2 linked regions of the Danio rerio genome follow. The protein of the gene in region 2 purifies or fractionates together with the protein of the main gene of each other region. This does not show direct contact. Links are inferred from orthologs where the notes say so. Each region holds a gene or a part of one and is shown on either strand. Other genes may lie near its edges.

Evidence for each region. The genes of interacting proteins can lie anywhere in the genome.
Region 1: the proteins of dkc1 (region 2) and naf1 purify together in Homo sapiens (co-immunoprecipitation; 7 studies listed by BioGRID and IntAct, counting the BioPlex papers as one, with this or other methods). This does not show direct contact. The link is inferred for Danio rerio from reciprocal best matches to the Homo sapiens genes DKC1 and NAF1.

The regions. Positions count from the first base shown.
Region 1 is NC_133179.1:10,564,696-10,569,556, forward strand, and holds the start of naf1 (H/ACA ribonucleoprotein complex non-core subunit NAF1), read left to right. Parts: upstream 1-1,688; 5' UTR 1,689-1,708; coding exon 1,709-1,774; intron 1,775-2,930; coding exon 2,931-3,397; intron 3,398-4,223; coding exon 4,224-4,404; intron 4,405-4,861. UniProt on the Homo sapiens protein: RNA-binding protein required for the maturation of box H/ACA snoRNPs complex and ribosome biogenesis.
Region 2 is NC_133196.1:47,448,949-47,453,800, forward strand, and holds the start of dkc1 (H/ACA ribonucleoprotein complex subunit DKC1), read left to right. Parts: upstream 1-1,640; 5' UTR 1,641-1,711; coding exon 1,712-1,727; intron 1,728-2,520; coding exon 2,521-2,573; intron 2,574-3,315; coding exon 3,316-3,402; intron 3,403-3,732; coding exon 3,733-3,824; intron 3,825-4,852.

The DNA.
Region 1 (4,861 bases), on a different chromosome or scaffold from region 2:
TCATGGAAAAATTATCTCTATCGTCTTGTTCTGTTGACAGAATATTTTGTGTGTGTTTTCACACTTATAATGATAATACTAATAATACATATTTATTTTGGACAAATTGGTGTGAAATTAATTGTTATTAAATTACTAATAAAGCGATATATACATACAGAATGTATTAAATTCAAGTAAAGTGTCTACCTTAAGGTTTCTAATAAATTTGAAAAAGAATAAATGCATTCACGTGATAAAATATGTAAAACAAAACACATACACAACACTTTTGACCTTTTAAAACACAAACATCTTTATTATGCCACCATCACTTCTGCTAATAAGCAACTGTTACACTGAGTGACATTTTCTGAACGTGTAAAATCATGGTAAGTGTGTATGTAGACATTATTTATGCTCAAAAGAAATTAATGTACAAGGGTTCAGATGTGCTGTTTTAATGCGCACAGCTGTAGTTTGAGCCTCGTGAATTTTTGTGAAGCCCAATAGCGCTATCTGCTGGTAACTTGTTAATACTACAGCAGCCAGTAATTTGGTTATATTAAATGGTATATAACCTAAATAGAGATCAAATATTAATATAGATTTTTAAAAAAGTACATTTATTGGTGGTACATTTTAGTTGGTAGAGCGGAGGACTGTAGCGGTATCATAACACTGTCATCCTTAGGTCGCTGGTTCGAATCCGGCTCGAAGGAGTGTCTTTATTTACTTCGGTTTATACAGCTTACAATAATAACGTGTTCACATTAGAGACTTCGGGGTTGATTGAAACGAACTCTGTAGCCATTTTTGTAAGTGCGGTTCAGTTTAGACGGGGGAACAGGGACAGGATCTTGGGCAGCCCTGGTTTAAGATTATGAACACTGAACAGCCCCGCGAAATATAATACTTTCAGAAATCTCTGTCAACTTCCAAACAAACTACTACGGATTAACCGAAATATCAGCATAGACACGGAATATAGACGTCTATGGCAAGCCGTTTTAACATTTACTACTTTGTTTTGACTATCCATAAATATATTTAGAGATATCTCTAATTATATTTTGACTAGTCATAATTATAATTCGACTAGTCAGAATGACAATTAGAGATATCTGCAATTACATTTGTACTAGTACGAAATCATATTGGAGATATCTGCAAATATATTGTGACTGGTCATATTCCTCCATTGACTTCCATTGAAAAATATTTGCAGATATCTCTAAATGAGTTTTGACTAGTCACAATTGTGATTAGAGATATCTCTAAATGAATTTCGACTAGTCAATTGTAATTAGAGATATCTCTAACTGAGTTTCTACTAGTCATAAGAAGTCGACTAATTCCGCTGCTCCTGACGTCATTTCATACCCTTCGATAGCTCAGTTGGTAGAGCGGAGGACTGTAGCGGATTATCACTGAAATCCTTAGGTCGCTGGTTCGAATCCGGCTCGAAGGAGATTGTTTTTTCAAACATACGACTCGCATAAGCGTATAATTTCAGCTATGTATTGGTAATTAATGAATGACTGAAATTTTGTTTAGCTTGGCACTGTTGAATAAAATTTTATACAAATGTTCGCTTATTTTGTTTATATTTTAAACATTTAACTTTTGTTTTATCAACAGATATTGTGGCTTTTATTTTGAAAGGCTTTTTTCGGTTCCTGTTCACGTGTAGCCGATGACGTAGAATCATAGCTGAAGCGCTTTCTTCATGCTGTTCACACATGGAGAGCTAAACATGGAGAATTCAAGTACAGAAAACGCAACTTACAGCCAGGTAAAGGATGTTTTATATGCGTATGTGTGTTTCTTATCATTCACAGTCATTGTGGCACACTTGGTAGGTACTAAATATATGTATTGTATCCTCTAAAATGTGCATTTATAATTTAAACTTGAGTGATGAATAATTGAGCATGTGCATCAAGCATGAATAGCTGTAGACTAACTTAGTAAGGTTAGAGGAAGATGCAGCTCAGATTTTAAATAGATTTTTAATATATATTAGATTGCAAGTCACGGCATCAGTAACACCGCCACCCTGCTGAGTTAACTTTAATCTTGCATGCTGATTACTTAAAGAGACACTCAATGTTTTTTTTCCCCCTAAATATAATAATAACCATTAGAATTAATTCAACCATCAGCACCTTTGAGAAATGACAAAGATCATGTGCACTCACATAAGAGAATCACATCAGTTTAATAGAAAATGTTTTATTCCACATGTTCTCTTACGGTGTTAATATCATGCTGAATAATAATAATAATAATACTGATTAGGATTGTATGATATTGCAAAATTCTCATATTGCAATTTTTTATTCTGCGATATGAATACAATTTTACTAAATGAGTTGAACCATTTGGAATGGTTTTATAATTTTAGATTGATTTGGGTGGATTTTGTAGGGAAGTGCATAAAATATAAAAAACAATCTAACAGCGTCGATGAGTTCAATAACGAAAAAGATTCAAATGAAATAAACAGTGTTTTTTTGTTTGCAAGTGTTGGGTTGCAGCTGAAAGTTGGCGGTTCATTCTGCTGTGGCGACCCCTGATTAATAAAGGGACTGAGCCAAAAAGAAAATGAATGAAATTGTATTCAGGTATACAGTAATTGAATAATCAAAAGAAAAATAATACCACTTGGTCTTTGTTTTATAAACAATTCAATAAAAGTGATGGTTATAAAATTAAGAAAGGTACAAATGGTACAATTTCTTAGGCCTTAATGCTTTTAAAACCCTCACACGCCTTAGAAATCACTTGCAAAATTATGAATTTGAATCCAGACTTGCGAATGATGACATTACGATATCGATGCTGAAATGATATATTGTGCATCCCTAATAATAATAATAATAATAATAATAATAATAATTGCTATTTTTTCACATCTATATCTTGCACAAATTTTGTTTCTTTTCCAGGATCAAGATGAGACCAAATCTAAAAAAGACGAAATGGAACTGGATATCAAGACTGAAAACACAGATGTGTTAATTGGACCTACAGATGAACCATGCACCAGTGAACAGAGAGACGATCAGATCTCCAGCATTCAGCCTGAACAATCTAGCAAAGAGAATTCAGAACATCAACTTGTAAAAGAAGAAGATTTTACCAGTGATCATGCTGGACTCACAGGAGAAGATCAGAGCTCCGGTGGTCAACCTGCACTAATAAGAGATGCTTTAACCAGTGATCAGTCTGGACGGGCAGATCAGAGCTCCAATATTAAGTCTGAACCAATCGATGAACAGATCTGTAGTGTTCAGTCTGGTCCAGCAGAGATGCAATATGGGACTGTGGTCAGTCCACAGTCTGGCACTGGATCGTTGGCATTGCTGAGCATGCAGTACAGAGGAAACAGCTCGGATGACAACTGTTCTGACAGGTAAAATCATGCGACATTAAACACTATAGCATCTAGGCATATACTCAATATATTGTAATGATGTCCATGCACACATTGAGTATGGTAGGCACTTCAAGATACAGTGAAGAATATGTATTAATGTGTTGTAGAGTATTAGTAGTTGTTCATCACAGCATCAAATGCATACATGCTTGATTTCAAACAATTTTACATGTTAATCCGAGCTAAAACTGTGAAATGTATTCATTTATAGGCCTTTTGTGTATTAACACTGTACAGTAAGGCTCTTTTTGTTAACCTCAGTTATGTAATGACAACAACAAAAACATTTCATAGTTGGTGCATAATTGCACATTACAATAAAAAGTTGTATTTTTTATTTAAATGGAGTTAATAACTACCACAATTCTGTTGCATTTTTATATAAATGAGTATTTATAAATAAATAAATAAAAATAAATTGCCTGGTAATGACAATTAAAAAAAGCATTTTTCTATCTTTTAGGTGTTGTTAATTTCTTAATTAATGCATATAATAGCATTAAAATCAAAAGTCGTAATCATTTCATCAAATGGAGTTAATAACTAATACAATTAATTTGCATTTTTAAAATGAACTCTATAATTATGATACATGTCTATTTCTCACTGCTGATTTTAATGCATTAACTAATGTTTACCAATGAAATTTTAATGTAAAAGTGTGACCTGGTGTGCTTTCATTTAGATCCTTAGGTCAATATCTGGATAATACCGTATGCGTAAACTGTGATGCTTCAATTATACCCCCCCACCCCCACCCCAGGAATGTTCAATGCTAAATTATTTTATTACTTTTATTTAGTGACTCAGACTCTTCATCCTCCACATCCTCATCTTCATCCTCCTCTTCGTCTTCCTCCTCTGAGCCTTTTGAGGTAGTGATTATGCCGAATAAAGCAGAAGATGATGATGATGATGAAGGTTTTGCCGGGGGCAATAAAAAGTCAGCACCGGTCAAAACACAAGATGAGCTGCTTATTGATGTAAGTTTTAAGATTTTTCTTCTTTTCCAACAGCAATTTATGAACCCAAGCTGATATGTTTCCATCTTTCCCAGTGTATTTGATTAGATTGTGAGTTATTTTACTTATTTGTGATATTAGAGGTGTAATTCAGAGGAGTTTTGTCATCTAGGAATATATAGTTGGTGACGTAACCTAAAAATATATTTATAGTCTTGTTTTAAACATACAACATTATTGCAAAACACTGATGTAGTCTGTTACCAAATTCTTATTGTGTTCCACCATATTATTAATAAACATAATAATATGCAAAGAGTCCAAAAACTCTTCATTGCCACCTGAAAACAATCTTTTTCCTCAGGCTCCTATGTTTATGTTCAGTTATTTCACTATTATGAGAAATAATAGGTTATTTTCATTGCCTTTATTTATAGTTAAAGAACACTTTTGCATCTGAATCCTTCACACATCTTTA
Region 2 (4,852 bases):
TATATATATATATATATATATATATATATATATATATATATATATATATATATATATATATATATATATATATACAGTATATACACACACACACACACACACACACACATGTGCTGCTATTAACATTTCTTTTTAAATTATACTGATTTTAAAGATATCGTTATTAGATAAAAATAATATAAATCATATATAAATAAAATTTCTGCCCTTTTACCACGTATTCGAAATCACAGTACACCACAATCTGATTTGAAAGATTATATAAGAGACTTAAATTTATTTTCTATTTAATAAATCATTATTTTTTCTGAGCTGGTTAATTTTTCTAAGATATTTTGGTCTAAAAAAACAATACACAACTTGACAGAAATTTGGTTGTCTATATCTAAGTTTTATTCGAGTGGCTTATATGAAAAGCAAAGGCCCCGATTACAATTATTTGACCAAAATCAAATATGATCATGCCTTGATTTTGAATGATTTTATTAGGACAGTAAGGTCTGACTCTGCTTAAAGTCTCATCACTGAAAAGAAATAATGTCCAGTATAGAATATAAAGTCCTGCTGCAGTGGAGACAGAATGAATATTGTGTCTGACTCCATCATGAGCTTGGAGGACTGCATCCATACATCTCTGACATGACTCAAATCACTGATTAACAAAGTCATCTGGAATGGTAAAGAAAGCAGTGCAGGACTCCCAGAGCTCATCAAGACTCTTTGGATTCATTTTCAATGCCTCCTTCTTTATTTTACCCCAGACATGCTCAATAATGTTCATATCTGGTGACTGGGCTGGCCAATCCTGGAACACCTTGACCTTCTTTGCCTTCAGGAGCTTTGATGTGGAGGCTGAAGTATGAGGAGCGCTATCCTGCTGGAGAATTGTCCCTCTCTTTTAGTTTGTAATGTAATGGCAGCACAAATGTCTTGACACCTCATTTTACCTCATACATATTTGGACAACTAATTTAATGACAACCTAAATGTTTCCCAAATATTACATTTACAAACACCTTTACACAGTTCATAGAATAAATTTGATTTCGACTGCGTTGTCCAGCTAAAGTAAATTATTCAAAATGTCAAAACAATTTAAAAACAATGTTTGATTATTAAACATTTTACAGAATAATATACATCAATTTACTATTAGCATCATTGTAATATTTAATACTGGGTTCCACACAATTACTTCATGTTTTCCCAAAACAAATCGATTAAGTTAACTTAATTGATTTTACAAATGTAAGAGGATTAAAATAAAACAATCAATTTGTCCCAAAAAAACTTGTTGATTCAGCTCATTTTAAATAAGTAGCTTGAACAATTAGCACTATTTGTTAGTGTATGGGGGCCATTTTACCTCAGTTTACAGTTTGAGCTACAGAAAATCAAATATACCGTTACAGTATATTTATTTTTTCTTGCTATTAATTACCTAATAATACATTACTGCCCTTAACATGTCCTACACAGCACTTTAAAGTTAAAACATTTCTGTAAACGGAGTTTCTGTTCTCCTGAAGCGTCTCTTCATGTTGCGCCATCGTGCGGCTCCATCTCTCGTTGTTTTTGGTGGATTCTGATTCTCGCAATATCGCGATACTATAAATCCGAGATGTGAGCCCGCGCGCTGCCTGTGTGGAGAAATGCGCATGCTCGGCCATTCACACGTGCTGCAGTTCAGAAGCGCGCAGCTGTGGTGAAGATGGCGGACACTGAAAGTAAGATCGTCTTTTATTCATTTTGGCTACATGTGTTGAGATGTTGCTCGCAAATAAGCTTGTATTATAGATTGTTTGTATGAAAACACAGTAAGTAAGTAGAAGATTGGTGGTAAATACATGTTTTAACTCCAACCACATGCATGGCAGCCGGGTGCGTGCAAAAAGGCAAAGCCTGATCTGCTTTTAAAAGTGCCTCTTCAATAATTAATATTACTTTTAGTAGTTGTAGTAACTTTGAACTTTTCTCTGCAAACAAACAAGTAAAATGTAATATAACTATATGTATACATAATAAAAATATTATTGGAAATGGTCATTTATGTGCTGAAGTTGGATATCTGGTCATTTTAGCAACTAACGTTAAATAACTCCGTAATAACGTTAATATTAAACACTAATACACATGTAATAGGCTAATACACATTTATAATTGTGATGTAGGGAGTGGTCCTTGTTGTGGACACTGTAAAGTCTTATCAGGTTTATGCAGACCTAAAATCAAGGTCATTTATTATTTTTAAGTGAATGTTTTAGATTGATACACGGATAATGAGAAGTCACAGCGATTTAATGTAATGTATAATGTTAATAATGAAGCTTTAGAGGTGTTTTTGTAAGGTTAGAACTGGAAGTTTAACCCCACGTGCTGCTCCAACACGCCACGTGGTCTAGCTTAAAAATGCACAGTAATGTACAACCCTTAACAGGAGGAGGACTCTTATTTTTTTTATCCTAAATGTATGTCTATGAAACATTCGTGATTTTTGTTTGTTTGTTTTTGTTGGATCAGGTAAGAAAGAGAAGAAAAGGAAGTCTAAGAAGATTTCTGATGAAGAAGTTGGGGTAATTTTCTTTTCTTATACGTGCATGTTTAATGTTATTAAATGATTTAACCATGGCATATGCTGTTAAATTTGACTTTGCATGTATAGGTTATTTTTGCAAGTATAGGCTATTTTTAAGCTAGTTAATTCCTTTCACACTCCTTTCTGTCCTGAGGTAAGGTTGGTTTTATATTTGCACATTTGGACTTTCACCTTAATATAATTTCAGGAAAGTATTGTTAAATTCTAAATGGTGAAATCAAAATAAACAGCCAATGACTAACAGTACAACATCATTCAGTCAGTTAAATAGTGCTAATGTTATTTAGCAGTCATTGCATGTGATTTTAAACCAAATAAAGTAGCATGGTTAATAATATGGGCACCTTACAGAGATTGTTACACTGTTATGGTTACAAATATAATGTGCTTTGTGCTCATAACTGTACATTATAATCTTTTAAATCCTGCTTTACTATTTAATAAATGTGAATCTCTGAAAATGCGAATATACAACCAACTTTATCACAATACTGGCATTCAATGAAGCCAAATGCTGTCACCAGACTGTACATAATCAAAATAAAATATTGTATGTGACACTCAGTGCTGTTTATTGTACAATGAATGTTTAGGAAACTGATCGGATTGCATGTTATATATTGTACATATCGTATAGGTTTTGCCATGAATATAGCCAGTGCTGCTGATATGGATTTAAAATGATAAATAAATCCTAATAAAGCTACCTTTGCCATCAGGACATTCAAGAAAGCGGAGACTTCCTCATTAAACCTGAGTCTAAGGTTGCCAGCTTGGACACATCTCAATGGCCGTTATTGCTTAAGGTCAGTTTCTGTTTACCCACAAGTCCTCTCACTTTGTCTGTGGTGTGTGACGTGATGAACTTGTTTATCCATTCGCCGAGCGCTGCTGGTTCTGTCTCTAAGCGGCCCTGCAGTCTGTTCTGGGCCGCAGGGTTTCAGCCGTCTGATTCTGCACTGCTGGGTCAATGTTTTATTGGTTCAGTTGCTGTGGAGTCTGATGTGCTGGTGCGGAGGATCAGACCGGCTCTGGCCAAGATGATTATACATGACTGACAACATGCACATACTTGGGTTAAACGTTTAATGTCGCTTTTAGTGTTTTTATTGACCTATATACATGTCTGTCTGCAGAACTTTGATAAGCTGAACATCAGGACGGCTCATTATACACCTCTACCACACGGTTCCAATCCTCTCAAGAGGGGCATACACGATTATGTCAGGTATGAAGTCTTGGATTAACGTAATCGTCTCTTAAAAGAAAAGGAAAAACTCCACCTTATTTGAAAATAGGCTAATTTCACAGCTCCCCTAGAGTTAAACGAATGTTTTAGCTTAGCATAGGACATTGAATCAGATGAATCTGCTGTTGAACTCTAGCTTAGAGTGCGCCGTCTACTGGTAAACGCTAATCTAGAGCACCTTCTGTTGAACTCCAAGCTCAGAATCGACTAAATGCTGGCTTAGAGCATGCTGTCTCTGGTAAACGCTAGCTTAGAGTGTGCAATCTGCTAGTAAACGCTGGCCCAAAGCATGCTGTTTGCTGGTCGACTCTGGCCTAGAGCATGCCGTCTGCTGGTTAACGTAAGCCTAGAGTGCTGTCTGCCTGTTAATTGCTAGCCTAGAGCGCTGTATGCCGTTGAACGCTAGCCTAGAGCACCATCTGCTTGTTAAACGCTAGCCTAGAGTGCTGCCTGCCTGTTAAACGCTAGCCTAGAGCAGTGCCTGCTGTTAAGCTCTAGCCTAGAGCGCCATCTGCCTGTTAAACGCTAGCCTAGAGCGCCATCCGCCTGTTAAATGTTAGCCTAGAGCGCAGTCCGCCAGTTAAACGCTAGCCTAGAGCGCCGTCTGCCTGTTAAACGCTAGCCTAGAGCGCCATCCGCCTGTTAAATGTTAGCCTAGAGCACCCTCCGCCTGTTAAATGCTACCCTACAGTGCGTCTGCCTGTTAATCTCTAGCCTAGAGTGTGCCGTCCACTGTTAAATACTAGCCTAGAGCTATTTGTTAAACAATTGGCTCAATTGACTAAACTCTAGATACAGCGTCTGCTGTCCGACGCTAGCCTAGAGCGCCGTCTGCTGTCCGACGCAAGCCTAGAGCGCCGTCTGCTGTCCGACGCTAGCCTAGAGCGCCGTCTGCTGTCCGACGCTAGCCTAGAGCGCCGTCTGCTGTCCGACGCTAGCCTAGAGCGCCGTCTGCTGTCCGACGCTAGCCTAGAGCGCCGTCTGCTGTCCGACGCTAGCCTAGAGCG